Linked DNA regions of Elephas maximus indicus. The protein of the gene in region 2 purifies or fractionates together with the protein of the main gene of each other region. This does not show direct contact. Links are inferred from orthologs where the notes say so. Each region holds a gene or a part of one and is shown on either strand. Other genes may lie near its edges.

Region 1 (7,791 bases), on a different chromosome or scaffold from region 2:
CCTACTTTTTAATACTACTTTTGAAACTACATTTGGCCAGGCACTGCCATTTCTATATCTGCCAATACACACACACCACACGTGCAACCAATGCACCTGGGTGGGAGCCCCAGAAGGAGCTTTACTCTCTGTGCCACCCTGGCAAATCTCTCTGTGCCCTCCTGCCCTAATCTGATTACAGCACACACTTAGCAAGATGTTTATTTAAATGCTGTCTGCCTCCCTCAACTAGAATATAAACACCAGGAAAGAAGGATTTGCCTTGATCATTGCTGTACTGCTGTATCCTCAACACTCACCAAAGCCTCTTGCACTCCAGCCATTGCTGTCGTGTCAATTCTGACTCATAGCAACCTGTCACAGGACAGAGCAGAGCTGCCCCCCATGGGCTTTCCAAGACTGTAATCTTTATGGAAGCAGACTGCCACATCTTTCTCTTGCAGAGCAGCTGGGGGGTTCAAACCGCAAACCTTTCAGTTAGCAGCCTAGCACTTAACCACTGTGCCACCAGGACTTCTTTTCTTGCACTTAACCAAAACCCATTTCCGAATCATAGATGCTAAATATATACCTGAGTAGGTGAATGAAAGAATGATTAGTAAAGACTAACATATCACTCAAGTTCCGGAAACACTAGACTCTGACAATGAACTATGACCTGACCATGTGTGCAGCTCAGCAATTTGGCAAGCTTCTCTCTTTAAAACACTTCATTATCACAGTCCTTTTGCAACAGAAAAAGATAATTAGCATATCTAGAAATAATTGGTCCAAACAATCCTCTAAAACCATGTCGGTACAGTCCCTTTAATACTAATGCTCTTCTAAAATGTACACTGTTAGAAAGAACAAATATCCAACTGGGGAAATGGATCCTTCGATGATTCATTCTTCCCTGTCACGTGCTGCTTAGTATCAACAATATATTCTGTGAAATACGCTAGGGGTTTCGGACGTTGTGCAAACATGCCTAACTCTCAAGAAATAGCATTTGATGATTTTCCACCTTGGTGTTGTTTAACAACCTTTTGTCTCACTTCCAAATCGACAGTCCTCCTTTGCCTCTTGCTGCTATCACCAGCATTGCTTTTGCTGCATTTGGGAGCCATGATGCACTTCCTGATAATGTTTTCAAAACTAAAGAGAGATAACCCTACAACACTCAGGGGACGCGCGATACAGGAGACTGGAAGCTGCTGCCTACCATTCGAAGTGTGCACTATTACACAGTAAACTTTCTATTTGTAAGCAGGGAAAGTTCACGTTAAAATAACAATAAAAACTATAGTACAGTACACACATAGGCCAGTAGCATGGGTGTTTATTGTGACTATCAAGACACATGTAGCACAGGTTATATATGTTCTGTACCGTTATACATCTGGCAGCACAGTTGCCTTGACTCCAAGAGGCATGAGATACACATGTTGCCAGTGGGAAGCTGTCCCGTCTGCTATGCACGGTTCTCCAAACTCGGGATTTCTGAACTCAATTATAACCTTACAGGGCACGAATGTATATGAGGTCAGATGCTACCCAAATACACATTATGATTTCAGTCATTTTTTTTAATACTGTTTCTCAGCGTGCAGTGTAGACTGCTTTTAAAGCACCTCTCCTATGTGATTCTCCACTCTTTAAAGATATATAAAATTAACCACCTCAGATACAAAGTGGCCTGGGGATCTCTAAGCACAATCAGATGCATACAAATGGCTAGTGAGACGTGAAACAGAAGGAAAGGCCCACGTTGCAATGAATAACTTTTGGGGGGAATGACTCATAACTATGATCCCTAGACGTCAGTTCCTAGGGAGCTAACCAAGCAAATTCTGTGCCATTTTGCACACCACTTGTAGTCCTTTCGGCCAAGCACAGAAACACCAAGTTTTAAACACAACCACATTCTGCTTCATTCTGGACTTTCAACGGGCATTAACACCCTTCCCTTTCAATCCACCTAAAAGCCCTGAGAAAACAATCGCAACAACCCTTGCAGCCCTTCTCTGCACAGAAACACTTCAAGTCACACACAGATGTTTGGTGTATTAAAGTAAACAAATGACAGGAAAGGAAATGCTGCTCTTCAAGATTCGTGTGGATTCCCAGAGACAAGACTGCCACCTGGACACATGGCTGGGAACGGGAGAGCTCATTCCTCGGAAAGAGTAGAAAATGGAAAAAACGTCAACGGCACTTAGTTAAAGTTTCCACCTTCCTACACACCCCCTTTCCCCCGAACGTGGCTCGGAGGACGCCCCCTTCCGCGGCGCGCGGAGAAAATCTGCACTTGACTTCCGTCCTCTCCCCGGGCAGGAGTAAGACCCTTCCTGCCCGCCCGCCTGCCTGCCTGCCTGCCGGGGACCCCCCGCCCCCGACACACACACGGGGACACACACACACACACACGGGGACACACACACACACGGGGACACACACACACGGGGACACCACCCCGCACGGCGCCCGGCCAGCCTAAAATGGGGCCGCGCGCTCGGCGCCCCTCGCACCGGCCCAGCCCGCGCCGCACGGCCGCAGCGCCCAGCCCGCGCCCCCCTGCCCTCGCCCCGCGCCCGCCCCGCGGGAAGCAGCCCGGAGCCCGCCCACTCGCCACGTCCGGCGCTAATCGCCCCGCGGCCGCCGCAGCCCTAATCGGCCGCCCGCAGCCGCGCTCGCCGCGCCGGCGCCGCCTCCCCTCCCCCGCGCCCGGGCCAACCGCCCGCCCGGCCGGCCGCGAGGAGCGCGCTAGGCCCCGCAGCCGCCGCCGCCGCCCGCCGCACCTACCATGGTACAGATGGAGGCGAATTTGGAGACTGTCATTAGGATTTCCATCCGCCCAGCGCCATCTTCCACCCAATCACAGCGGCGGCGGGCGGGGGAGGGAGCCGGGCGCCCGCTCTCGCCGCAGCCCCGGGCGGACCCCGAGCCGCGCGGCCTGACGGACCGAGCCTGTGCTGCCGCTGCCGCCGCCGGCGCTCAGGCACTCCCGGCCTCGGGCTCCGGCCCCCGCCGCCGGCCGCCCGCCCGCCCCCGGCTCCTCCCCGGCGCAGGGCGCAGCCGCTGCTTCGGGGCCCGCGCCTGCCCGCGAAGCCGCCGCCCCCGCCGCGCACCCCGCCCAGCCCTCCCGGGAGCGGCTCCGCCGAGGCCCTAGTGCCCGGCTGCTCCGCTGCGCGGCCCCCGCGGCGCCGCGCTCTCCCCGCCCACTGCCCGCCTGCCCCCGCCCCCACCCCGCAGAGCGAGTGAGCGAGCGGCGAAGTCCGGCCCGGCCCCACCCCGCGCCTGGGCTGGGCGGGGTCTGGGCCTCGCCGCACTCCGCCCCGCCTCCCCGCGGTCCTAGAGACCGGCGCCGGCCGCGCGAGGCGCGGGTCCTGGGGTAAGCCCTGCAGGGGGAGGACCGCGGCCCGTCCCGGCCCCCGAAACCGAAGAGCAGGGCGCTTATCTGGGTGACTCAGAGTGGGAAGAGGGGAAACCCGCTTCTGTAAGGATAGCCCGGGTGATGAACCCTCCAGAGCACTTTCCAAAATGTAAGGGTTGTTTTTTTTTTTTAAAACATATATTGGGTATTTACCTGGGTCAAACCAAAAAAAACCCGAACGCGTTGCCTCAGCCCATAACTCAGAGAAAGACAAAAATGAAAGTGGCAAAGGAGAAATTATGTCTAGCTCTTTGAACTAAAAGATAAAGGGGAGGAAGGGAGGGCCTGCCTTCCTGGCTCCCGTTAGCCTTGAATTTAGATATGTTTATAAATACAGTATCTAAATATATTTGTTCTAGACAACAGGAACTGCAAAAAAAGAAAGATCTCAACCCAGCAGCGAGAATGATGCAGTAAGGCCAGCAAGTGAGAAAAATGTCCTGTGAGGGTGGGATATTTCCTCTTTTCTATTTTTACAAAATTCATACTTGCACCCTGCTTTTCATGTCAGGCAGCTCAGCTTTACTTCTTCCTATTTCAGAAAGCAGTTCAAATGAGTAGAATAACTTTATTATATTAGGAAGCTGGTGGTGTTTTTCGGTTGGCAAACTAGAGTGCTGGGGTGCTTTCCTGGGGGATTCCCCCTTTTCAGTGGGGCAGAGGGACTGAATTTAGACAAAGCTCTAAAATCAGGTATTCCTTACATCACAGGTTAAAAGTATTCAAAAAGCAAATAAAGCAGCCAAACAACATTTAGTTGAAAAAGATACATTTGCTACACAAATGCAGTTTCCATAGGGATTTCCGTTATAAGCTTGTTTGGGGGAATATTTTTCGGTTTGAATATAGCCAAGTCCCATAGTAACCAGCCTGGTTCTCCAGGTGCCTGCCTCCATGGAAGCTGGGGCCCTTCCTCTTTGCTGACACCCAAGCCAGAGCTTAGGTAGGGCTCTGTTCCAGAGGGGTACCTAAGGCATGGCAGGTAGGGTGCATGACTGGGCATCGCTTGAGGAGAGGCGCTAATGAGCAGTTTCCATAGCCCACTGCAGTTTCCATCGCCAGCCGTGAGAGATCATTCACCAATTTAAAACTAATTGCCATAGTCTCTATTTTCCTGCTAGCCTCCTGACAACCCATCTGAATTCTTCACTGTGTTCCACCCCGTTTGTACAAGGACTAAAAACTCCTTAAATCCCAGGGGCTTGCGTGGGCCCCTTTGACGTTGCCATGCCTCTGGAGCCTGTTCGTCTTGCCCATCTTAATAAATGCCCATGGCATCCTATCCTTTCTACTTTGTGTTCTCTTCCAGGAAAAAGAAACTTACTGTCGACTTGACTCCGACTCATGGCAAACCCATGTGTGTTGAATAGAACCGCATGCCACAGGATTTTTTTGTTTTGTTTTTATTGTGTTTTAAATGAAAGTTTACAGTTCAGTTAGTTTCTCATACAAAAATTTATACACACGTTGTTACGTGACCCTGGTTGCTCTCCCTATAATGTGACAGCACACTCCTCCTTTCCAACCTGTATTTCCTGTGTCCATTCTCCACAGGGTTTTTAATGGCCAATTTTTTCAAACCAGACCAGCGGGCCTTTTTTCCAAGGTGTCTCTAAACCTGCTGCTGCGAAGTTGATTCCGACTCAGAGTGACCCTGTAGAACAGAGCAGAACTGCCCCATAGGGTTTCCAAGGCTATAATATTTACAAAAGCAGACTGCCACATCTTTGTCCCGTGGAGCAGCTGGTAGGTTCCAACCACCAACTTTTTGCTTAGCAACCAAGCGCTTAACCACTTTGCACCAAAGCTCCTATAAGGTGCCTCTGGGTGGGTTCAAACCACCAGCTTTTCAGGTTAGCAGCTAAGCACGTTAACGGTTTTAACCATGTGTACCACCCAGGGACTCCTTCTGTTCCAGGGAGCAGATCTAATGTGCCAGAGGCTTAGCCACGCCTCCATCTATGCTGCCCACCCACGTGCTTAGTTGCCTGTAAATCCTAAAATGTGACAAGAATGGAGGCCTCCTTGGTCCAACTTTATACATAAGTTTATATGAAAACAGGCCTTTTTTAAATTGACTTCTGATAGAATCATCTGGAGGCATGCCTAGTAGGTGTTACATCCATCTAAATGTGCAAGTGATGTCATAGACCCTGACTGCAGAACCTCACAATGACCTGTCTCCTAGCCTAAGGTTGAGTGGAGAGGCACAAACGGAGAGATCCTACTATTTGCCAGGTGCTGTACAGGGTGGTTTTCACTATCTATAATGCAGTTGAGGATAAGATTTGGCTGAAACTCCACACTTGGCACACACCGTTGTTGTTGGGTGCCATTGGGTCGATTTCGACTCATACCAACTTCATGTGACAGAGTAGAACTGCCCCATAGGGTTTTCTAGGTTGTGATCTATACTATCCATAAGGTTTCCACTGGCTAATTTTTTTTTCAGAAGTTAAATCGCCAGATCCTTCTTCCTAGTCTGTCTTAGTCTAGAAGCTCCAATGAAACCTGTCCACCATGGGTGCACCTGCTGGTATTTGAAATACCGGTGGCATAGCTTCCAGCATCCAAGCAACACACAAGCCACCACTATACAACACACTGACTGATGGTGGTGGACCCTCAACAAGATGAATTGACACAATGGCAGCAACAATGGGCTTGAACGCAGCAATGAAATGATTGTGAGGATGGCAGGACCAGGCATCGTTTTACTCTGTTGTACATAGGGTCGCTATGTGTCGAAACCCACTCAACGGCACCTCACATCGATGGCACCTAACAACAACAACAATCTATATGGAAGCACATCACGAGGCCTTTCTCCTGCAGAGCCACTGGGTGGGTTCAAACCACCAACCTTTTGGTTAGCAGCCAAGTGTTAACCATCTGCGCAATCAGGACACTTAATCTGGGCCTAGAACTCAGGGTTTTTTGTGTTTTTTTTTTTTTTAGATTTGGCAATTTCGTTTTTTAATTTTATTATGCTTTAGGGCTAAGAAGCATGTTCCTCAGGCATGTTGTTTGTTTTATAAAAAAAAAAAAAAAAATTTTTTTTTTGTTTTTGTTTTATAGACCTGTCTAATCCTAGGCTGAAAGGTGGACTTCAGGAGTGGCTTCAGTTCTGAGTTAACGGGGTGTCCAGGGGCCATATTCTCGGGGTGTCCACCAGGCTCTGTCAGTCTGGTCTGGCATATTTTTGTGAATTTGGATTTTGTTCTACATTTGTCTCCTGCTCTGTCCAGAACCCTCTATTGTGATACCTGTCAGAGCAGTTGGTGGAACACAGTTTTTACGGGCAACTGTATCAACTTTACAAAGAGCCCCCTTTTGCCTAAGGCGGATGTGTGTGACTGACCAGCAAGCCTGCCAGAATGTGTAAACTATAAAATATGCCAAAGCCTTCAGGGACCCAGCACGTGAACAGACTAGGGCTAAGCTTAATCTGGGTGGTCAGCACAGTGTATTTAACAAGTTTTTGTTTGAAATACCTTTACAAAATCATGCACTTCCCAGTTCCTCACAAACTCCTTATTTTCCTTTACTCGTCTTGTCTCCAGCTTGCCACGGGCTACTTCATACATTTCTGCCACCTCTCCTTTTACCTGTGATGATGGTGGGAAGGGGGGTACAAGGGGGATGTGAAACATCCATAAAAGAGCCCTAGTGGCACAACAGTTAAGCACTAGGCTGCTTAGGTCTACAATTCGAACCCACCGGCAGCTCAGTGGGAAAAAGGCCTGGCAATCTGCTTCTGTAAAGATTACAGTCTAGGAAACCCTGTGGAGCAGTTCTACTCTGTCACATGGGGTCACCAGGAGTCGGAATTGACTCTACAGCACCTGTCAAGAACAGAAGGCATCCCTAATGAGTTGGCACTTATTGAGACCTTATCTGTGCCACTAAGCACTTTATGTGTATTAACTCCTGACTCCTCAAATAACCCAAGGAAGTAGATACTATTATTATCCCCATGTTATAGATGAGAAAACCAAGGCACAGAGAGAATATTTCCAAGCTTGCAAATTTAGCAAGTGATGGGACTAGGATTCAAACCCAGCTGCAGAGGCTATATTGTATTGACTCCGCTATAGCCGCTCTTGCAAAAGTACCTCGTTTCAATTCTGGCAGGGTACGGTTGAAGGAGCCCTGGTGGCACAATGGTTAAGCATTCAGCCGCTAACTGAAAGGTTGTTGGTTCAAAATCCACCCAGTAACTTCCCAGGAAAAAGATCTGGTGATCTACTTCTGTAAAGATTACATCCAAGGAAACCCCATGGGATTGTTCTACTCTGTCACGTAGGGTCACTGTGAGTTGGAACCAACTTGATGGAACCCAGCAGGGTGGGGTTGAGACTCCTTGGGGACCCACT
Region 2 (6,833 bases):
CCAGGAGAGGAATTTGAACAATTTTAAAACTACTAGGTATTAGTAATGAAAAAGTCTTAAGTTCAGTTGGAAATTTCAACCATAACATGATTAATTACATGCTCATCTTCTCCACATATGTGAATTCTCAAGGCAAAAAAAAAAAAAAGGTGAAATGTGTATTAGGGGTGGTCATGGGTTTTAATCGTATGTTTCTATTTGTGAATTATTCAGGTTTATTTGTGACCAGGAAGAGGAGGGCCGGATCAGCCAAAATGAGTTTTTATTTTATGGTCTATTTTATATGAACTCTTTTCTGTAGAAGTGAGAGTGGTTGGAGGTTGGAAGCTTCAGATTTTCTATTACTCTGATGAGTCTATTATTCTGATTCCCTTGATTGGGAAGGGGAAGGGCGTAGGCCTTGGCAATTACCTAGTTTGTGCAGAAGTGCCCTTTGGAACTATTTGATAAGCAATATTTCTATAGTCTTTCCTTTTATATGGTTTAAATTCATCCTTGTTTTTAATATTAAACTTAATACCTTCATCTACATGTAATTAGATGAAAATACAAAAGCTACAGTAGAAAAGCCTAGCCAGTAATGGACTCCAGAAATTTACTCAGCAATGCAATGAACAATATTTAGATTTGAACCTCAGCCCTGAAAAGCCGAATTCATTTCTATTCCATAGTTTTCCACAGTTCAGTTGTCCCTATTTTTGAAAAATACAGAAATGTTCATAGGGTAAATTTTCTTCAAACCCTGAAGCCAGGTAAACGCTGCCTGTTTGTCTGAACTAAAATAAGACTAAATTTGTTCAACCTGTGGTAGAATAAGGAATTCAGGCAAAAGTTGACGTTGTGATCATAAAAAGAGTGGGAGCTAGATACAGCTAAGTGATTGTAGTATCATATGGCTTCTCTACCAGAATCTGATAGACAAGAAAGACAAGAACTTTCTTTTTCCAGATTTTCTTCCCATTTTGCAGTGAAGATTAGGAAAAGCTCTGGGGTGGGTAGGTGTGTGTGTGTGTGTGTGTGTGTGTGTGTGTGTGTCCTGAGATGATGAGAGCGCACAGCTGCTGCAGGAAGGACACAGAGCAGGGAGGACTTCTAATGACTGCTCTGCTTCTTGGCTTGATCCAAACTGATTTTTGTAATGATGAACCTGCAGTGAGGGCAGATGGATTTTTGCACAAAAAAATCCCAGATGAATTTATTTTTAGGGTTAGTCTCAGCTGTTCACCATTTCCAGAAATTGTAGTTACATAACCCTTGGCAGTCATAATGCACACTGCCTTGAACTGAAAGACACATGAATATGTGACCTTAGCAGCAAAGTATGAAATGTTAATGGTAATATATGACTTGAAAAGAAAACTCTATATCAACTGGTTGTCACTACTGAACTGGAAATCTGGATCTTAAATCATGGGGACCTTTAAAGGGAGCGGCATTATATACATCATCCCCTGAAACATCCTGCTGGTGGCCTTTTTTTTTTTTTTCTTTTGGAAGAGGTATTACTCTGAATTAATCCTTTAGCCCACTATCCCGTCAATGAGAAAACAAGTCAAAGCAAAAAAACCCAACCATTTACCAGTGCTATTCCCCAGCAGGAATTCAAATTCTGGTCCTGGGACAAGATCTTTTCCCTTCAGGTGATCAAACAATAAAGAATTTGTGCCCATGAGATGTGGAAAAGGTAATATGTAACAATATCTCCAGAAACAGGCTTTTAGAAACATTTATTCTGAACACATTTTTATTCTAACTGCTGCCTTTGCCCCTTGGTCAGATTACTTCTGTGTCTATACTGGTGCCTATTCCTTATACACCAGTATTCTTGCCGGAAGAATTAAGCACTAAGAGGGGTATGTGACTAGTCTGAGTAGCTTTCTTGAAAGCAAGTTAACAGTAGACAGGGGTGGGTGGTGGTGGTGGTGGTGGTGAGCCAGCAAGTCAACAATACAAGAACTTTCTTCGCTTTTCACCAGGCTCTCAGAGATGAATTTTAATTAATTAAAATGAGACAAAACAAATGAAGCTTAATGGTGATTTGAATTTTGGTATATTCAAAATGAAGAGAAATTAGTCACCATCCTTTTACAGAAGTAATAATTGGTACAGGGTCAGAGTCTTTGCAAGAGCCAAATTTTGTTTTGGAATTTAAAATATCTCCAAATATCACATAGTAGAGAAGGAAACAATGCACTGTTAGATTTCAGCCTTTCTTGTATTAGGCTTAAAATTAAAATATTTTAGATGGTTGGCCTGAACTAGGCAAGGTGAAGCAACGGATAATAGGTAATGCCATCTTTGCCATGTATTCAAAGTTCAAGACATTATTGGTTTTCTGCTGTTAAATTCCTTACAAGTTCTTTGAAGATTCATGGATACCTGTGTAAGAGGGGAAGGTCTAAATATCTAAGAAGTCCAGAAGGCATCCTAGGAAAAAATTTTTTTTTATAATTTATTTTTGTTCTTGAGAATATACACAACAAAGCATACACCAACAGTTTCTACATGTATAATTCAGTGACATTGATAGCATTCTTCAAGTTGTGCAACCATTCTCACCCTCCTTTTCTGAGTTGTTCCTCTGTTAACATAAACTCACTGCCCCATAAGGCTCCTATCTAAACTTTCAAGTTGTTGTTTCAATTTGATCCCATATAAAGAGGTCTTAAAAGAGCATAATGCTCAAGGCATTCTTTACTAGTTAAGCTAAACTATTGTTTTAAGAAGATTCCAGGGAATATTTTTGGCTTAAAGATTATCTTAGGACAATGGTTTTGGGGGTTTATCCAGCCTCCATGGCTCCAGAAAGTCTGGATTCTGTGAGACATCCTAGAAAAATTTAAGAGGAACAAGAAGAGTGCTTTTTGAAAAATCTAGTGAATCTTAAATTTGGAAATTCAGAATTAGAATGGCTACTATAAATTTCGATTTCGACTCATAGCTGGGGTCTGGGTTTTTTACTATAAATTTCGACTATATGTTTAGTGCTTTGTAAGCATTATTCATTAAGTCGTCATAATAACTATCAAGCAGATATTCATCTGTATTTCACAGCTTAAGAACCAGAAACTTAGATCAAGTAACTTACACAAGGGTATAGCTCAAATAAGTGATAGAGCTGAGATTTGAAATCAGGCTGATTCCACATTTGGCCCATTGGTCACAAAACTATCATCACTGTAGGAACTAAAACAAAACGATAACTTTTAAAGATTTTCCGACTTAGCATTGTAAATAATCAATGGCTCACAGACTGTATTACTCTTTGAGGGAGAGAACAGACTTCTGGTAATTTTGCTACAAGAGGAGGAAAGGGAATTTAGATATTGCTGGAAGATGAGTGAACACATTATTTTGGGTCGAATTTGCTGACGAAGGTCGTAAGCCATCTCCAGTAAGGAAGAGAAAGGGCCTCGTTAAGGTATTTTCAACAGTTCTTCCAAGGGCTTTGCAAGTGAGGGTGACAGGCCGGTTTTAAACTAGAAAGGAAACGTTTTAGAGAGCTAACTTACAGGAGCCACCCTCGGCGGACTGCAGCGTCCAGTGACAACTGACAGGTGCAGGCACTAAGGAGGCGGGGATAGCTGTAAATAGCCCTTCCTGCGCCTCAGTCCTCCAAACCCAGCGCGGCCCGCTGCAGAGGCTCAACCCTGCGGCGGCGCCGTACTCCGCCCGCCGAGCCCTCGGCCGGCGGCTCCGCCACACCGGGGCCACCCGGGGCCCGCAGCTACGCAGGTCCGGCGGGGCTGCGGGAGGGGGCGGGACCAGGGGCGGGGTCAGGGCGGGACCGCGGCTCACGGGGGCGGGGCCTCCGCTGCTCGCGCGCGCCGCTGAGGCCCGGCGCGCCGTCGGCCCCGCCGGGCGTCCCTGTGTGGTCTCTGCTGCTGATGGGGGAGGTGGAGCCGGCGCCCGCGGGCCCGCTGGAGCCCCTGGAGCCGCCCGAAGCGCCCGTGAGCCGCTGGCCGGGAGGAATTCGGGTCCTGAAGGTGAGGCGGGCGAGCCGAGGGGGGAGTGAGGGAAGGAGGAGGCCGCCCCCGCCCGGCGCGAAGGCCGAGGCAGCTGGCCACCCCCGCCCGCGGCAGTCAGTCAGCTTGGCGGTCGGCCGCCCCTCAGCCGGCCGCGGCCACAGTGGTCCCCGCCGAGGCCTCCGCGCGGCGCCCGCGCCCGCGCCCGCGCCCCCGCCCCCGCCCGCGCCCGCGCCCGCGCCCCCGCCCAGGCCTCGGCCGCCTCGGTCCTCGGCGCTGCCCATCCCTGGCCCCGCGCCACCCGCCTCGCAGGCCCCCGCCTCGCAGGCCCCCGCCTCCGCTGGCTGTCTGCTGGGCCGCCGTCGCCCACCGGCCTCTGTGGGGCCCCGGGCCGGCCCTGCCTCCCTCGGCCGCCTCGCCGCTGGCCCGAGCGCGGGGCTGGAAGCACGCAGGGCTCTCTCCCCAGACACCTGAAGACATCACCCCAGCGGGAGGATGGCGGCGATGATTGGCCGCGCGCTGCGGTGTGCTCGGGGCTGCGCGGGGCGGAGCGGGTAGACTCTGCCCTCGGGGTTCACAAGTGAAGTTGCCACCCGGCTCCTCGCTCTGTAGACGTCGGCGAGGAAGTACGACCCGCCTCGTCTGGGGAGGAAACCTACGGAGGAGCTTAATTAGGGGGAATCGCTGGGCGTGCTGCGGGAGGAAGGAGGGGCTGGACCTAAAGGGGGCATTCCTGATTGCAGGAGTGGGGCTAGCGATCCGGGGAGACTGTGATGGGGGAGCAGTTATGCAACAGGCAGCAAGCGGGGCTTTTTGGCAGGAATTAGGGGAGTAGGAGGAAATGAAAGCAGATGCAGGCAAGTGGAGCCTTGGAGGTGATGACAAGAAGTTTAAGTGCATATGGAATGTAGGGTGGGGAGGGGCAGTGAAGATGCTTAGAAGGAGGGATTGTGTAGGCTCAGGGGAGTCTTCTACTAGCCTTTGAAATAGTTGGAGAGAAACTTTCTGTATGTCAAATAAGTCAATTAGATGTCCTTCTGGAGGTGGAATGGAATTCATTCTGGAGTTCTAGAAGAGAAGTCGATAGGATTTGAAACTTGCCAGGGAGAAGGAAGAGAGAAAAGAAAATTTACAAGATTTGTTGTGTCAAAAATACCTTGCAAAAGAATTAAAGTATACAATGTTAAAAATGCATTAAGTCATAGTAGTTAATTGGGATTGAGTTTGAGCAGTATGCACTTGTTATTAACATTATTAGTAGGCCATCGCAAAGATGGATTAGAAGGATCTAATGAATCCATGAAACAACATAAACTAGAACTCTGTAAAATATTTAAAAAAGAAAAAAATTCTGCCACTACCTCTCACTCTTAATGCAGGGACTTAAAGTAATAACCTTTCATAGATTATCTCCAATTTTTGCATGACCCTTCTATATATTTATTATAATTTATATAACCATAGGTTGTAAATGTAATTACCCAGAGGTTTTTGGATATTTATTTAAAACTGAAATCACAAAAATGTAAATTGTGAATTAACTCTATTAAAAAATGTTTTTTAACTTCACTCGGCTTATCGGGAAATTGCAGGTCTGAGAGATAGGCAATGCCTTCTGGCCTAGAAGGTAAACACCCTTGCTTTTTTTTTTTTTAATAACTTTTTTGGGGGGTGGGGGATGGGGTGAGTTGTGAGAGGGAAGGAACTGAGAAATGAGAACCTTTATTGAAGACAGTCTAACCCTTCTTCCCTGAGATTCCAATCAGGGGACCATTAGAAAGATTCCAGAAACTGATGGTAATTACAATACTGAGATGGTGTGGGAGGCAGAGTCTTTAAGACCTTTGCATCCTTACTTTATTACATATAAAAAGACCAAACCCCTTGCTGTCAAGTCAATTCTGACTCATAGCAACTCCATAGGACAGAGTGGAACTGCCCGATAGAGTTTCTAAGGCAGTATGTGATCTTTAAGGAAGCAGATTGCCACATCTTTCTCCTGCAGCTGACCTTTTGGTTAGCAGCCGAGCCTTAACCACTGTACCACCAGGGCTCATTTATTGCATATAGTCAACAGTTTAAATAATCCTTGCAAATAATTGGCCCCTTATGGAGGATAGGTGGTATATGTTCTACAACAAAATTTCCCTTCAGTAACCAAGTGGTTGAATTTTGTGCCTAGTGAAACTGGAAAAGAATATTTAAGTAGAAGACTTCTAATTGGGAAGAAAGTCATAATTTCCCACATGTTCACTAAGGACCCTTTGAAAACAGCTTTTCAGTCTGTTTTGTAACTTTTTTACATTTAACAGATCGTGAACATCATTATTGTCAAATTATATATGTAGATCTTCATAAAAAGGCGAATATAACTAAAGTCAGACTATATCTAGGTGCATCTATGTGGGGTATAGGAAAATTTGATTCACAGTCTGTCCCCAGATTTCATTTAGAAAATTGCTATTTAGAATGTATTCTTTTACAGTTATAGTTGGAGTATAAGTATGATATTTTTAATACTCTTAAAAATATTAAGAGTACCTTTGAATTTTTAAAATATTCCAGATGTTTCCTATGATTTTAGGATTATGTTTTATTTAATTTACTCAGTCTATAGAAGCTGTGAAGTTACAACTGATTACTGGTAGTCAGTAAATGCCCTGAAATTTGTTTTTTCAATAATTTAAATTTTTTGTAAGAATAAGTGTGCGTGGTTTTAAAAAATCAATACCAAAAAGATTTTAAGTACTGAAATATTGTTCTCTCCCCATCCCAGCCAACTCTTCTTAGCCCATTCCAAAATATTCTTTAACATGTATATTCCCAGAGATGAACCCATCTTGTTTTAAAAGTTTCAAATGGAGGAAC
Region 3 (7,557 bases), on a different chromosome or scaffold from region 2:
ACAGGGGGACAGTGACACAGGGGCCATGCTGCCCCGACCTCACCCAGTTTAGAACACAGGCAGAGGGCAGGAAGAGTGGGCCTGAGTGGCCAACACGGAGATCACCAGGAGAAGAAGCCAGGGGCCCTGAGAGGCTGAAAAGCCCCAGGAGGAGGCCTCAGGCGTGACCAGAAGCAGAGGTGCAGACAAGAGGCCGAGGCAAATCCTGTGGGCAGAGCCCACCATACCTTCCCGCCAGCCTCGGAGCCCAGATTGCCTGCAGCCACCCAGTCTTGCTTCGGCTCCCAGGGGTCGTGGGTGGGTGGCAGCCCCTGCTGGGCCATCTCCTCCGTGCAGGTAAGCTGCCGCCGGCGCAGCTCCTCATCCGTCTCCTTGTCCACCACCAGCAGCTGCGTCTGCCCCTCCACGGCCTTGATCCTCTGTACCACCTGGGACAGGTGGATGGTGGGACTAGGTCAGCAGTCAACACCCTGGGGCCACACATGGACGGCAAGACCACCCAGGGCTGGCTGGGCCAGAGGGGGTGGGTGGCTGGACCTAGAGGCCCGTGGCCCCACCCCCCACCCCCAGCTCTAGCAGTGCCCTCCCTTCTTCTCCCAGGACTCCCAGCACCTTGGCCCAGGCTGCAAGGGCCGCAGGGTCCTAGCAGGAGGAGGCTGCAGGGGGCAGCCAGCTGCATGAGTCAGTCTGGGGGTGAGAGCTGGTGCACATCTGTATATGTGTGCATGTACACGTGCATGTGTGTGTGTTCACATGCGTGCGATCATCTGTCTTGGGGTCTGTCTCACAGTTTGGGTAGGAGAGAGGAAAAGGTGTCTCCTGGGCCCCTGTCTGGGTGCATCTGTGCCCATTTCTGTCTTTCTTGGCTGTGGAAAGTGGGCATCTAAGTCTCTGCCTGCCTCTAGGTCTCTGTTCACCTCCAAACCAAGAACTTGGATCTGTTCTTGAAGGCTGCAGAGAGGTGACAAGGTCCCCACTCCCATCTGGGCGAGGCTCAGACACCACACACATGGTGTCTGGTCAGAGATCAGCCCCGGCAGGTGGATGCAGGGAGAGGCAGATCCACCTGTGGGCCAGGTGTGGTGTTGTGGCTGAGTGTGGGCCTGTGTGCATGCCTGTGTACGAGCCTGGGGCATGTGGGCAGCATGGGGTGTGTACGCCAGGGTGTGGCCACAGGGGGAAGGCCCAGTGTCCACTACAAAATGGGGCCACAACCCCACCCAGGCCACATGTCCTGGGGAGGGTGGAGGGCCTCTCCCTCAGCTGCTGGGCAATGTTGTCAACAGATAGGAGGGTCTGGCCCAGGCCCATCTTCTCCCTCCTTTCTCCCCATGATCTAGAGAGCTGCTGGTACCCCAAGACCCTGCTGCTCCCTGTGTGACCTGGACGAGACACCCACACCTGCAAGCATCAGTCTCTTCATCTGTAAAAGGGGAACCATCACAGCACCTCCCCCACTCCTGCGCCTCGGAGGGCAGTTGGAAGGGTCCCTCGTTCTGTGGGGGGTGTTCTTAGAGATTAGCACCCTGGAAGGCCTGCGATAAGCTGGCAGTCTTGGGGTGAGGGTGGTGGCAGCTGGTAAACAGAGGCCAGCCACCAGCTCTGCTAGCTACCCTGCCCTCCAGCTTGTCAGGCCAAACCCTCCAGCCTCTGATGCCCACCCTCCTTCAGCAAACAGCCTTATCCATTTGACACTCTGGCTGGAAGTCAGGACAGCAGACAGATGGACAGAAAAGGGCCCTGAGGTAGAAGCAGTTCAGCTCCTGGCCCAGCCAAGAACCCACTTGTTTGTCTCTGGGCCCAGGGGCTGGCCAGCTCACAAACACCCAGAAGTAAACCTGTATGTACACAGACACACTCAGCCCAGCTCACACCCACAGCCCAGCTCAGACACACCCCCAGATACAGACTTGTATGCGCACAGACACACACAGCCCAGCTCACATACACCCAGATGTAGACTTGAACACACATACAGACACAACCAAGTGCACACACATACATACTTATACACACACACGCATATTCAGACCAGTTCATACACTCAAAGCCCAGGTCACACACACACCCAAATGTGCAGAATGTACACACACATACACAGAGCTGGGTACACACACATGCACATAGATATACACAACGATACAGGCACACACAGGTGTATTCATATACCCACTAGCCCTTACCGTGACCCCCCCCCACCAGGTACACACACAGGCAGATGTGTGCACACACGGGTGACCCCACAGGGCCCTGCACAGTCACACACACACCCAACCGTATGTACACACATTCATAGAAGAACACCCAGGGTCTCTACTTTCGGGCATTCACAAACCCCCCCAAGGTGCACCATCCCTCATCGTGGGCGCTGAGGCCAAAATGAGCCTCCAGAGCAGCTGGAGCCGCAGTGCGGGCCCCTGCCTGCCAGGATGCCCCCCCCAACCCCACGGTGCAGGACAAGCTTCCTCGGTGGGTGGCTGGGAAGGAGGCGGGCGCTGCCTCCGTGGCGCGTCCCCATATCTCCCCCCCACCACCACCGGGCCCTGCAGGCCTGCGCGACCCCCTCCGGGCCCCAAGCCCCGGCCTTGCGGGGCAGGGGCGCGCCGGGAAGGGGGCCCGGCAGGGGAAACCCACCTGGTGGTGCGTCTCGCCTTCCACGTTGACGCCGTTGACCTCGATCAGGCGGTCCCCGGCGCGCAGCGCGGCCGCCTCGGCTGGAGAGCCGGGCTCCACGCGCCGCACGAACTGCCCGCGGCGGCCCTTCTCGCCGTGCAGGTGGAAGCCGTAGCCCAGCTCGCCGCGCACTAGGCGGCACAAGCGCGGCCGCAGCGGCGCGGGCCCAGCCATGGCGGAGGGCGCTGGGACGCGGGGCTCGGCTCACTGCCCGCCGCCCACAATGCGGGACGCGGGGGGCGGCGCGGAGGAGGCGGCTGCGGGGACCGGCGATCTCGGCGGCGGCCCTGCTTCGCTCCAGTTGCCTCGGACTCCGGCTCGGACTCAGGCTGCGGTACCGCCCCTCGCCCGCCCCGTCCCCGCCCCTCTGCCGTCGGCCCCCGCCCCCCGACCGAAGTCCCCGCTGACCGAGAGGCAGGGCTGCCGGGCCGGCAGACCTCGGAGGCTCCCACTGTCTCAGCCTCAATCTGGGCAGCCTCCTCGGCGCCAGTGCCTCCTATTCCTGGATCATTTATTGAGTACCTACTGTGGCATAGTGGTTGAGCGCTATGCTTGCTAACCAAAAGGTCAGCAGTTCAACTGCACCAGGCTCCTTGGAAACTCTATGAGGTAGTTCTACTCTGTCCTATAGGGTTGCTTTGAGTTGGAATCGACTCGATGGCAATGGGTACTGCACGCATGGCACCAAAGCAGGCTCTCCAGTGGGTGAAGTGGGTATAGAGAGGGTCGGTCCCCAGGCCCAGGGACCCCACACAGGGGCCGATGGGTAAAAACAAGGGCTTTCCCGTCTCCACCACCCTCTCCCCCAGCACTTGCCCTGCTGCCTGCTCCTCCTGTCTCTGAACCTTTCTCTCACCCAGAGCTGCTCCCCCTGCAGCCCAGGGTGGGCCAGGAGGCCAACAGAGGGGCTCAAAAAGCTGCATGGCTGTGGCCCTCCCCACACCTACTAGTCAGGGGATGGGGCACTCCTGACCCTCCCAGGAAGTGTACTATCTGTGCTGTGTGTCAGTTAAACAACCCCCTTCCCTGACCCCTCCCTCTGCTGGGGTCCCTCACTGGTGTCATCTCAGGGGCCCCAGGCCTGGACCATGTCTTTGCAGTTGCTGGCTGGGAAAAGGTGTGGGGAGGGTAACACCATGGAGAGGTCTTGTGCCACCCTCTTCCTGCCTGGGATGCACTGTGCTTCAGACACAGCTGCGGTCAGTATGCACAGGGGCTGTTCCACATTGAACTGGCCCCTGCGGGCCTCCCTCCCAGCCCCACTTCCCCCAGACAGACAATAAACATTATGGAGAATCACTTATGCTTCTGTTCTGCCTCTCTGGGGACCAGATGCTGTGTGCATCTTACCTGTAACAACCCTAGGAGCTGGGCCATTTTACTGGTCAGGAAACCCAGACCAGCTTGGGTCTAGGGTTGTGACGTTCCAGAGTTCACACTCTACTGTGGGGCCCTTTTGCAGTCTCCAAGGCAGGAAGACAGCTGAGTCCCAGGCTGACCCTCTGCCCCCCGGGCCTGTCTCTCCCCATCCCTGCTGACCCCTGCACATACCTGGTTCCTGGGGGTCAGGCACATCCAGCCCAGCCAGTTCCCCATGGGGGAGCCGTAGTAGACTCAGCCTGATCCTAGCAACTCCCTCGCCTCCTTCCAGTGCCCTCGGCCTTGGCTCTCCAGGCCCTGCCTGAGCACAGGGCCTACCCCTGAGCAGCATCCTGGGCCAAGACTCCCTGGGTGCCCACACCCCAGCTGTTGCCCCTAAAAGCCACTTAGGCTGCATAGTTGCTCCCTCACGCCTCCTCTGCAGTTCCAGCTAATGCTACTAGAGGCTCAGACCTGGCTGGCCACTGTCTGCCTCTCCAGAGGCTGTGTCTCCTCACCTTGCCTGTGACTCATCCTCTCTGGGCCCAGCCTCACTGGCACTGCTTCCCTGGGAGGCTGTGCAGCTGGGTGCAGGCCTGCCATATGCCATACCTGTGCAACCAGGACCCCCAGGACTTGCCAGGTTGTAGCTGCAGAGCCACAGTGGTGGCAGGGGAGGTGGATGGTTGGGGGACCCCAAGCCAGGGGCTGGGGAAGATAGGGGCACCTAATCACCTGGGTTGGGGGCTTGGGGAACCCCCCTCTGTGGAGCACACTCTCATAGCCCAGACTTGAGGCCCTCCCTGGCCTTCTGCAGCCCAGTACTCAGCTGTTCCCCACCCCCCCCCACACCCTACACACACACCCGCCAAGACAGAGGATGGAACAGCGAGGAGAGTTTGGACACAACAGTAACTAGGAGCATGTGGTCACAGCAGAGGGCTAGGAACCCAGGAAGTATCAAAGGAACACTGAAGTCCTAGCTTAGCAAAGGTGGCTCCAAAGAAAAAAGAAGCTGCGAAAGTACTCAGGAAAGTAACCCAGTAACAAATGGGAGTAACAAATGCAACATCAGAGTAACAAAGGCAGTGGAGAACAAAGGTGGTGGGCTCCTCCAGCAAGAGAGGAACCAGGGTAAGAATTTCAAGGGGTGTAGACTCCACAGCAACAGGTTTGTTTTTGTTTTTGTTTTTTTAGCACGAATAAGAGGAGCCCTGGTGGTGCAGTGGTTAAGCGCTCAGCTGCTATCCAAAAGGTCAGTGCCCGAACCCACCAGCTGCTCCTCAGGAGAAAGAAGTGGCAGTCTGCTTCCATAAAGATTTACAGCCTTGGAAACCTATGAGTCGGAATTGATTCGATGGCAATGTTTTTTGTTTTTGTTTTTTTTTAAGCAGGACTAAGTGCAGGAGAGATGAGTAAGCTGGGAGGTCCCCCAGTAGCAAAGATGAGGAAAGGTGGCCCAGTGGCTCTCGTGGGCCACCCCTCCCCAGGCTGCCACCCCCAGCCTTGCTCCGGGGCTGTCCCTAGGCACAGTGGTCCACTGTGGTGGCAGCAGAGAAAGGGAACAGTATGAACTCAGGTGCTGAGGGGCCGCAGCTCTTTGGGGTTGCAGGGCATGGGGCAAGGGAGAGGGCTGGGAGACCCTGGGTCAGCGCCATCTGGCCATGGGGCAGGGATCCTGCAGAAAGTGGGCTCTACTTTGCTGGCTGTGAGAGAGTGTGGCCTAGCCCCCCAGGCCAGCAGCAGGCAGAAAGAGGGTCAGGTGAGAGGTGGTCAGAGACCTTGTTGTTGACCATCCACCCACACCACCCTGCCACCTGCATGCCCAAGCTGTCACATGTTTCTGTCCCTTCCCTCCTCTGGGCTTTGGGAGGATCCACCTGCAGTGAAGTCTGCCCCTGTGCTGGACCGTAGGCCCTCCAATCCTGGGGCAGGGAACTTTCCTCTGAGCATTGAACCTACATCCCTTTTGCAACTGCCCGCCCAGCAATGGAGCGGAGCCTGAGGCCCGGGTGGGGACTCGGGTGTGGCTGCGGGGTGGGCAGAGGCCTGGTCACTGCCTGAAGAGGGTTGGGGGCCCTGGCTGGAGAGCGGAGCCATTAGTTTGACGCCCCAATAAATGCCCCAGAGCTTCCCGAAGGGCGCTGCCGCCCCGATGGGAACTAATGGCCCCAGTAGAATAACCAAGCCTTGTTTAGGGCCTCCTTCATCAGACTACCCCGGGCCCTGGGGCACTTTTTAGAGCCCGAAATTGGAGCAGGCGGGGCCAACGCGATGGTATTAACAGAGACGAGAGAGAGAAAGGGAGATGCAGCAAGGACCAAACAGAGAGGAGGGTCAGAAAAGAGGCAGAAGCGGCGCTAGGGTAGAGGGGACCAGCGGCCAAGGTGGCCTGGGTAGCCCTGCCTCGCCCACCCGCTCTGGCCCCGCCCCTAGCCCCTCCCACCGCCGTCTCCGGGAACAGCAACCGCGCAGCGCCACCTTTCGGCTCTGGGCGGGATTGCACCGTCCAAGGGCTGTCCTGGGTCCCGTCCTAGGGCTGGAAATTGGGGTGAGACCGGCTCCCTAAGACTAGTTGGGCTTCAGGGCCATATGGGGTGTCATGGGGCACAAAGGGACCTCTGCCTGGCCCCTAATCCTCTCTGCCCCCCCTGCACCTGGCACCAACCTCTCTAGGCTGGAGTACCTCAATGCCCCCTGAAATCTGGGCACCGTGACCCGGGCAGTTCGAGGTCCAGGACAGTTGGGTGGAGTCAGAAGCCAGATTTAAGACGGTTAAAGAGGGAGGAGGGGGGGAGGGGCCCAGACGCTTGAGGCAGGCTGGAGCTGAAACCCTGTGGGGGGAGGAGACAATTCAGGAGGATATACGAACCGGGGGGGGAGGGGTCGCGAAGGAGGAAACCATAGTGAATGAGGAGAGCGGGTCGCGGGGGGTGGAGGGGAGGCATAGAGAGCCAGCTATGAAATGAACGCAGGAGAGAGCAGGAAAGTCTGGTTGGGCTGCCTGGGCTTGAGGTCGGAGCTGTAAGGCAGCTGGGAGCTGTGGGTGAGGGGGTCCGGCTCAGCGGTATGAGTTCCCACCTTCTCCTCCGGTACACCTCAGTGGATGGCAGTAGGGCCCAGGGTCTGTCTTGCTCCTCTCCACGTGGGGCCAACTCTCCCCCGGATACCCTGGCACCTGGCCTGGGGACCCCAACCCCTGAACAGGAAGCAGCACTGGCAGAAGAAGGAGCCCAGTTTCCGGCAGCGTCCCTGCCCCTCCCTTGCCCCCCCTCAGGATATGTGGATCTCGGCCGCTGGGTGGTTGGGGCTTCCTGCAGCCAGAGAAGGGGCTTCTGACATTTGCCAGGGCGTGGGAGCGGCTGCTTCTGCCCCAGACCTAGATGACAAAGTTCACAGCGCGGAGAAAAATGGTCACACGCAGGGGCGCGGAAACCAGGCGGGGTTTATTGACGAGACGACTGCCCTGGGCACAGCTGCGCGCTCTAGCAGCTGCATCGACTCCTCCGGGGTTAGGCGTGGGAG
Region 4 (7,518 bases), on a different chromosome or scaffold from region 2:
ACAGTATTTGCAGTCATTTCATATCCATGTGAAAGCTGAAATTAAAAAGGAAGACAGAAGAATTGGTGCAGTGGAATTGTGGTGCCGGCGAAGAATACTGAATATACAATGGATTGCCAGAAGAACGAACAAAGCAGTGTTGGACAAAGTGCAGCCAGAATGCTCCTTAGAAGCAAGGAAGCTGCGACTTCATCCTGCTTTGGATATATCATCAGGAAGGACCAATAACTAAAGAAGGACATCATGCTTGATAAAGTAGAAGCTCAGTGAAAAAGAAGATTCTCAATGAGATGGACTGACACAGTGGTTGTAAGAATGGGCTCAAACATAGCAATGATTGTGCAGATGCTGCAGAACTGGACAGTGTTCCATTCTGTTATACATAAGGCCACTATGAGTCAGGGCCAACTTAATGGCACCTAACAACAACAAAGCAAGAACTTTGTGGTTTTTTCTACCTACAACTGAATGAAAGCAAAAAGGATCAGAAGTATACTGAGTTTTCAGATGAATTGTATTGCCGGAGATACACCAAACTTGATTTGCATCCCTGGGTTTCTGCTGTTGCTGCCCACAAGCACAGTTACGGACATGTTTGGTTTTTCTGAAGCAGCATTAGCTGAAGTCAGTGTCTAATCACTAGTTCTGCAAACCTTGATACGCAGAACCTAGGACATGTATTATCCTAGTGCAGATCATAGCAGGCACAGGGTGGTTCTGGAATGGGCAGCTTGAGTACCTTTCTGATGGTAGTGATTTCCTAGGCATGGAAGTTGCAATGTGGTCCAGAAGCCACCATTTCCTGATTATAGAAGTCATAACTCCCTTAGTGGTCTGATTCTGCAAAGATTCTGAAAAACTAACCTAGAGTCTATTTCATCAGCATTCTCAAGGACTCAATAAGCTCCCTGCTTATACTACCTGGAATGGATTCTACTCTCTGCAACTTAATCTTGATACTATAAACTGTACCAGAAGAGTAGAGGGTGCAGACAATAGGATCCCAAGGAAACTGGAAAGGAGTACGTACTGGTTTGAAACCCTGGTAGCATAGTGGTTAAGAGCTACGTCTGCTAACCAAAAGGTCGCCAGTTTGAATCCACCAGGCACTCCCTGGAAACCGTGTGGGGCAATTCTACTCTGTCCTATAGGGTCGACAATGAGTCAGAATCGACTCGACGGCAACAGGTTTTTTTTTTGGTATGTATCAGTTATCTGTCCTCATACAGTTAGAAAGTAGCAATCATTCTGCTAGTGCTAGAAAGAATGAGGCACTGTCAAATTAGGCAATGGCAAATTAGGTGAGACTGACTTATATTTTCTAATTCTGTCCTTTTCTATGCTGGCCTCAAGAAATTTTGGGGTGCTTTCTTTTTCTGTACTCATATAAGAATTATAAGTTCCTTGAAGGTATCTCGTTTTGGACCTATTTTACCAACTGATGGTAGCACAGGCAGTTTAGAGATCACTATGTGATATCATAGTGTTCTTTTAGAGTTACAAACTCAACGATTAGTAGCTTTGTAAGTCTTACCCCTGAAATGGGCATTTGGAATGAATAATGACTTTAAGGTGGGTAAATTAAGGGACTTTTATCTGGGTTTTAAGGTTCCTGGCTTGGCAAGGGGAGAGAGTCTTCAATGCCCTGCAGATTTTCTGGGATAAATAGTTATCACTCTATAGGTGATTTCTTCTAGTCTCATGGTTTTAAATACCACTTGGAGCCCTGGTGGTGCAGTAGTTAAGACCTATGGCTGCTAACCAAAAGGTCGGCAGTTCAAATCCACCAGCCGCTCCTTGGAAACCCTATGGGAAAGTTCTACTCGTTCTATATGGTTGCTATGAGTTGCAATCAACTTAGTGGCAACAGGTGTTTATTTTTAGTGACTCTCATATTTATATCCACTGATCTAAATTCTCCACTGAGTTCCAAACTTGGAATCTAACTGCTGACTCAACATCTCTATTTGGATGTGCAACAGGTATCTCAATCCGACTTTGTCTAACAAAGAACAATGATCCATCCCTCCCACCAAACCCACTTCTACCCCAGTGTTCCCCATTTTAGCAAGGGCCAACCACTATCCAGTTGCTCAGGCAAAAACATACAAACAACTTTACATCTTTCTTCTTTCTTGGAGACCATGCAGCAATCCATAAGCAGATCTTGTTGGCTCTACTTCAAAATACATCCTGAATCCTAACCATTTCCAACACTTTCATTGCTACCACCTTATTGAAAAACAAAAAAACAAAACCCATTGCCATCAAGTCGATATAGGAAGAGATGGCATTTTATGTATGATGGTAAATCATTAAATGGTTTTGAACTAGGGAGTGGCATGGTTTTAAAAGTGACTTGTGGTAGATAGATTGTTGAGCTTCAAGAGCTTAAGCAGGGATGTCAGACAAGAGACTATTTCAGTAGTTCAGGGACTAAATTATGGTGGCTTTTCAGGCCACCCTGCTTAGGGTCTTGAAGCTCAACAATCTGTCTACCACAAGTCACTTTTAAAACCATGCCACTCCCTAGTTCAAAACCATTTAATGATTTACCATCATACATAAAATGCCATCTCTTCCTATTTGATCAGAACCCTGTCTGCCTCACTAATCTCATTTCCTATTACCTTCTCACCTAGGCTCACTGTACTCTAAGCACCTGGGACTCTTTTCTTTCCAAAACGTGAAGCCCACTGAGCCTCACGACCTTTGTAGCTTGCTGTTCTCTACCTGGACCATAAACTCAGATTCTTCTAAAGCTCGCTCCTTCTTTAATTCATCTCTCTGTTCCAATGCCAACTCCAGACCATCCTAAGACAGTACACTATCTCTTTTTCCTATTTATATTATTTAAGAGCTCGGCTATTCGAATACACGAGCCGCTCCTTCAAAACCCTATGACGCAGTTCTGCTCTGTCCTATAAGGTTGCTGAGTCGGAATCGACTGGACCGCAACGGGTTTAGTTTTGGTTTATGTCTCCCCCTCTAGAACGTAAAGCTCCATTAGAGCAGGGAATGTATTTCATTCACCGCCGTATCCTTGACGCCTAAAAACATACTTGGTTAAATGAATTTGGACTGAAGACCTCCTGCTCTGTGAGGTCACCTCACTAGGGTAAGACTGCAAACACAGATGGAAACACAAACCAGGTGAGGCCTGTGTTGCCGCCCTTGAGCCCCTTAGCAGGGGGTCTCTCGCTGGAATCCTTAGCCGTCCCCTCACTCCCCAGTCAAAGCTTGGACTTAATATTTTCTTTCCTTGCGTGGCCGGAAAGGGGAAAAAAAGGAAAAAAATGGAGCGTGTTAAGGTAGGAAGGAGCCTCAGCTCTACACCATTCGGCTGAGCATTTATTGCTGTCCGTGGCAGCAGTTGTTTTCATTGGGATGGCCCTGGCACCAGGGGTGCGATTCCGAATAGAAAACCCTGAACGCCAGCAATAAACCAAAACTGCTCAGCCATTTTCCGAAACCAGTCGCCCGAGGACCGCTCCCGAGAGCGTGCGCATGAGAGGGGCGGGCTTACTGTAAGGGCCTCATCCGGAAAGCGCACGCTCCGTGGCGTCCCACCGTAGAGGACTAACAAAACGCAAAGCGAGGTTTAGCAGGCGGCACGGAAAGCGCGTGCGATCGGAAGCAGGGGACGCGCTTGTGTGGAAAACTCTCTGTCTAACAATGATTGGCTGGCGCCCTCTTTTTTTTTTTCTTTTTTAGAATTGGCTAGACTGCCTTCCCCCACCCCCCGGTATCCAGGTACTTCTGATTGGCTTCTCCTGGAGGTGGTACAGAGGCTTTGGTGATTGCTCATCACGGATTGGTGGATTTGAGCCCCTGGCGGCTGTTTCTCAAGGAAGGGGACCGCCCCTCTACTCTCTGTCCTGTCTCCCGACCCGTACGCTTTTCTCTCAACTTGCGCACAAATGGTTGTTGAAAAAAAAAAAAAGGGTGTGAGGCTCGAGCCCGCCAGCCAGGCCTCTAGCACCTAGCGCGCGCCCTCAGCGAGGACCCGCGCGAGCTGCCCTGTACTGTGCCTGCGCTGTTTGAAATTGCAGAACCCGTTAGGAGCTGGGGGAAACTACCGTTCCAGCTGACTCCGGAGCTCGTGCATGCGAGGGGGCCGAGTGGCGGTCGCGGGGCGGCTCTTGCCTTTGGCGTCTGTGCAGCTTGGAGACTAGGACCGGCATTTTCGAAAGACGCCGCCTTCAATAGCAGCGCTGGCGCGGGCGGAGGCTAAAACCCGGGGGTCCTGAGAGTGAGGAAAACGCGCCAAGTTCCCCTCGGTGGTGGAGTAGGAAAGACCCTAGCGGCTCAGGAGCGTCGGGAGCGGGGCCGCTTCTTCTTGCGCCCTTTCTATCCCGGGGCGGCCGCAGGCGGCCGCCGCTCCGGGAATGTAATTGGTGTCGGCGTAAAGCAGGACCAAGTGGCGGCCCGGGTTCCCGCTCTTGAGAGTGGATGGTCACTCCCCCGCGGGAGGGCGATCCGACCAGCTTTTTCTTGGGTCGGGGACCCGGGCTCCGAGCTGGAACTCACCTGTCGCGCCCACACCCATCCCGTCTGAACTCGCCGGCGTCACCGTCGCGGACCTCGCTTTGAGCCATGACCAGGTACGGAGGGCCTGGGGAAGGAGGGGCCGGTGCCCGGGTATGGAGGCAAGTTCGGCCGGCGCCTGAGTGGGGCCGTTCTGGGACCCGGGCGTCGTCGCTGCTTGGAAGACTCCAGGGACCATTTTGCTCCCTCGTCCTTGCTCGGGGTGCCAACCCGAGCCTTCTGTGAGGGCTGCCCCCTCCTGCAGCTCCTGGGAACTCGAGAAGGCAGGTTCGGGCTGGGCGTAAACAGGCCAGCTCCACGGGCTAAGGGGCCGTTTTCAAGTGAGCGGTGGCGGCGCCCCACAACGCCAGCGGCCAGCGTCCCACCTTGCCCAGCGCTGTGTCTGAAGGGCACGGACATCAGTTAACACGATATCATGTCAACTTTTGAGTCTCTTTTCTGTTCCATGGAGTGGTGATAGTAGGGAGAAGAGATGTTTTCACTCGAGTACTATGTAACTGCTAAATTTTACCGTGCAATTTTTGACACTAGAAACTTTAAACTCTTTAGAACGCCACTGAAGTCTTTGCGGAGGGTGTTATCCTTAGTTGTTTCACATTTTTCTTGAAAAACAAGAGTTGAGTCCTGTGATCTTCTGAAGGAAAGAACAAAACTTAGTGGTACTTTGTGTTCACCCTCTTGTTCAAGAACATTCAGTGTTCGATTTATTGTGTTCTCTGCAAAACTGGATTTACAGTTTTGCGAGAAACATTTTTGATGTTACAACCCAGTTACAAGGAGAGCCAGAAGGATACTATATGGCACCTGGTAAAATGTTACATTCTTGCTAATCTTAGTGACTTGATCATTGCTTCGAGGGAGGGTTGTTGGTTTATTGATTCGGACGACGATCCCGTGTATCAGGTGCTTCATCATTGTTTCCATCTGTTAAAGTCAGAGTATCCTATCACAGAGAATGCAGTTTCTACTCGTTAGAACTGGTTTTCAAGAAAAGTCTTTGAAGAATTGTTAATGCTTAGAAATCCCAGTGTGGTGCAGGTTATGGTTTATCTTCATAAGCATATGAATTTCATCACTAGCATTAAGCGGCCAGGAGAGTAAGTTGAGCTGGAGACGGGATGGAGAAGAAATTGGTCAACTTTCCAGTTCTTCCTGAGTTGTCTCCAAAATGTAGTTTCACTGCCGAGGTTCAGTGCTGAGAATTCCCAGATCAGAGTTAGCTGAGTGAAACGCTTATTAAGGGTGGAATTTGAGTGAATTTTTTCTAGTGCATCATACAGAGGTAGTCACATTTGAAACTTATTGCTGAGGTTTGGAGCTTTAAGTAATTTTCTGGTAATACTCCTGTTAGATCATTTTCCCCCAGATGTCATAGTGAATGATAACAAACCTGTTGCAGCCAAGTCCATACCGACTCATAGGGACCCTATAGACTGATATATAAAAGAGCTACAATGTGGACATATTTTTTCATTGAACAGTTTTGCTTTAAAAGAGTAGAAATGCTTGCCAGAGTCAAACCAAATCATCTTTTTTTTCCTACTCAAAGCAGTTTTTAAAAATCTATAGTTTAAAAAAAAATTGCCTTGAAAGTGAGTAGAATATTGTGGTGTCTAGAGCATGAGAATTTGATAACTATACACAAAGTGCAACGATTTTTTACACCATCCCAACTTTGCATATGTTTTATTACCTTCACTCAGGGTTTTAGATATAACTGAATGCAAAATCTATGCCTTTTTATGCATATTATACTTTAAATATTTTATAGATTTTATTTTGCATATTTATATTAATAACTAGAAAAGGCCTTGGGAGGGAAGACTTACTCATGTCCAGCACTACTGTGATTTCCCAGTCATTCCTCTCCATAGGCCACTTCTTACTTTAGAACTAGAGATGCTAATTGCTCAATTTTTTTTTGAATTAATAAATTACAATGATGAAAAATTAAATTTTTACTCCTTACTACTATATTTTTCCATAAAGTGGGATATTTTGAGATATGACCCTTAATCTAATAGCACACTGATACAGGTTCAGTATCAGATATCTTTCATTGTTTAAGAAAGTTAAGGACTAATAGCACACTGATACAGGTTCAGTATCAGATATCTTTCATTGTTTAAGAAAGTTAAGGACAGTGTCGCAAGCTCCTTCATTAATAATGCAGCATATATTGAGTGCCTATTACTGCCAGGAGTTAGTTTTTAAGTTTGAAGTTCTAATTAGTACCGTTCCTGTAGTAAATTTGTTTTCAGAGTTCATGGTTTTGTTGCCTACAACTGATAACTAAATACTAATGAAACTTTTTTTCTATGAATAACAGATATAACTGGTGATTACACCTTGCCTCTATAAATTAATTCTTGTCAACAACTTGGGATTTGAAGAGAAAATGCCTGGTGTCATACCTAGTGAAAACAATGGGCTTTCAAGAGGTAGTCCATCAAAGAAAAACAGACTTTCCTTGAAGTTTTTTCAGAAAAAGGAAACTAAGAGAGCATTGGATTTCACAGAGTCTCAAGAAAATGAAGAGAAAGTTTCTGAGTATAATGGAACTGAAATGTATGTATCATATTTTAAATATATTTCTGTACTTCTTTTATTCCTCATTGGTGAAGCAGAGAACTGGGGTTGACATGTCCAGACATTCTAACTTGATACATAGAGGCAAAAAAAAAGTCCACATTAGTGAGACAAGTCTAACAGTGTATAGTAGGCACAGAATCAAACTGCTGGTTCCTAAGGGATCACCTCCATAGTGTTAACTCATTTGCATTGTGTTCAACCACTTAGACTAACTTGGAAAAATATTTGTTGACTAAAATTATTTTTCAGAGTTTAAACATGTTATTTGTAGTGCAGCACATTTGTGAAAAGGTAAAAAATTAGCTGGTTTTTTGGTTTAGAAGACTTGAAAGTTATCTGAGATTTTTAACCTTTGTAGACATGTCCAGTATATGAATT

What was found.
Region 1: the proteins of PHLPP2 (region 2) and USP12 purify together in Homo sapiens (affinity purification with mass spectrometry; 3 studies listed by BioGRID and IntAct, with this or other methods). This does not show direct contact. The link is inferred for Elephas maximus indicus from reciprocal best matches to the Homo sapiens genes PHLPP2 and USP12.
Region 3: the proteins of PHLPP2 (region 2) and NHERF2 purify together in Homo sapiens (affinity purification with mass spectrometry; 3 studies listed by BioGRID and IntAct, with this or other methods). This does not show direct contact. The link is inferred for Elephas maximus indicus from reciprocal best matches to the Homo sapiens genes PHLPP2 and NHERF2.
Region 4: the proteins of PHLPP2 (region 2) and USP1 purify together in Homo sapiens (affinity purification with mass spectrometry; 3 studies listed by BioGRID and IntAct, with this or other methods). This does not show direct contact. The link is inferred for Elephas maximus indicus from reciprocal best matches to the Homo sapiens genes PHLPP2 and USP1.

Annotation. Positions count from the first base shown.
Region 1 is NC_064841.1:59,199,170-59,206,960, forward strand, and holds the start of USP12 (ubiquitin carboxyl-terminal hydrolase 12), read right to left. Parts: upstream 3,019-7,791; 5' UTR 2,833-3,018; coding exon 2,785-2,832; intron 1-2,784. UniProt on the Homo sapiens protein: Deubiquitinating enzyme that plays various roles in the regulation of the immune response and inflammation.
Region 2 is NC_064839.1:38,713,967-38,720,799, forward strand, and holds the start of PHLPP2 (PH domain leucine-rich repeat-containing protein phosphatase 2), read left to right. Parts: upstream 1-3,832; 5' UTR 3,833-3,887; coding exon 3,888-3,986; intron 3,987-6,833. UniProt on the Homo sapiens protein: Protein phosphatase involved in regulation of Akt and PKC signaling.
Region 3 is NC_064830.1:59,124,423-59,131,979, reverse strand, and holds the start of NHERF2 (Na(+)/H(+) exchange regulatory cofactor NHE-RF2), read right to left. Parts: upstream 3,011-7,557; 5' UTR 2,848-3,010; coding exon 2,635-2,847; intron 429-2,634; coding exon 228-428; intron 98-227; exon of another isoform or gene 1-97.
Region 4 is NC_064821.1:107,649,162-107,656,679, forward strand, and holds the start of USP1 (ubiquitin carboxyl-terminal hydrolase 1), read left to right. Parts: upstream 1-4,514; 5' UTR 4,515-4,604; intron 4,605-6,877; 5' UTR 6,878-6,946; coding exon 6,947-7,116; intron 7,117-7,518. UniProt on the Homo sapiens protein: Negative regulator of DNA damage repair which specifically deubiquitinates monoubiquitinated FANCD2. Also involved in PCNA-mediated translesion synthesis (TLS) by deubiquitinating monoubiquitinated PCNA.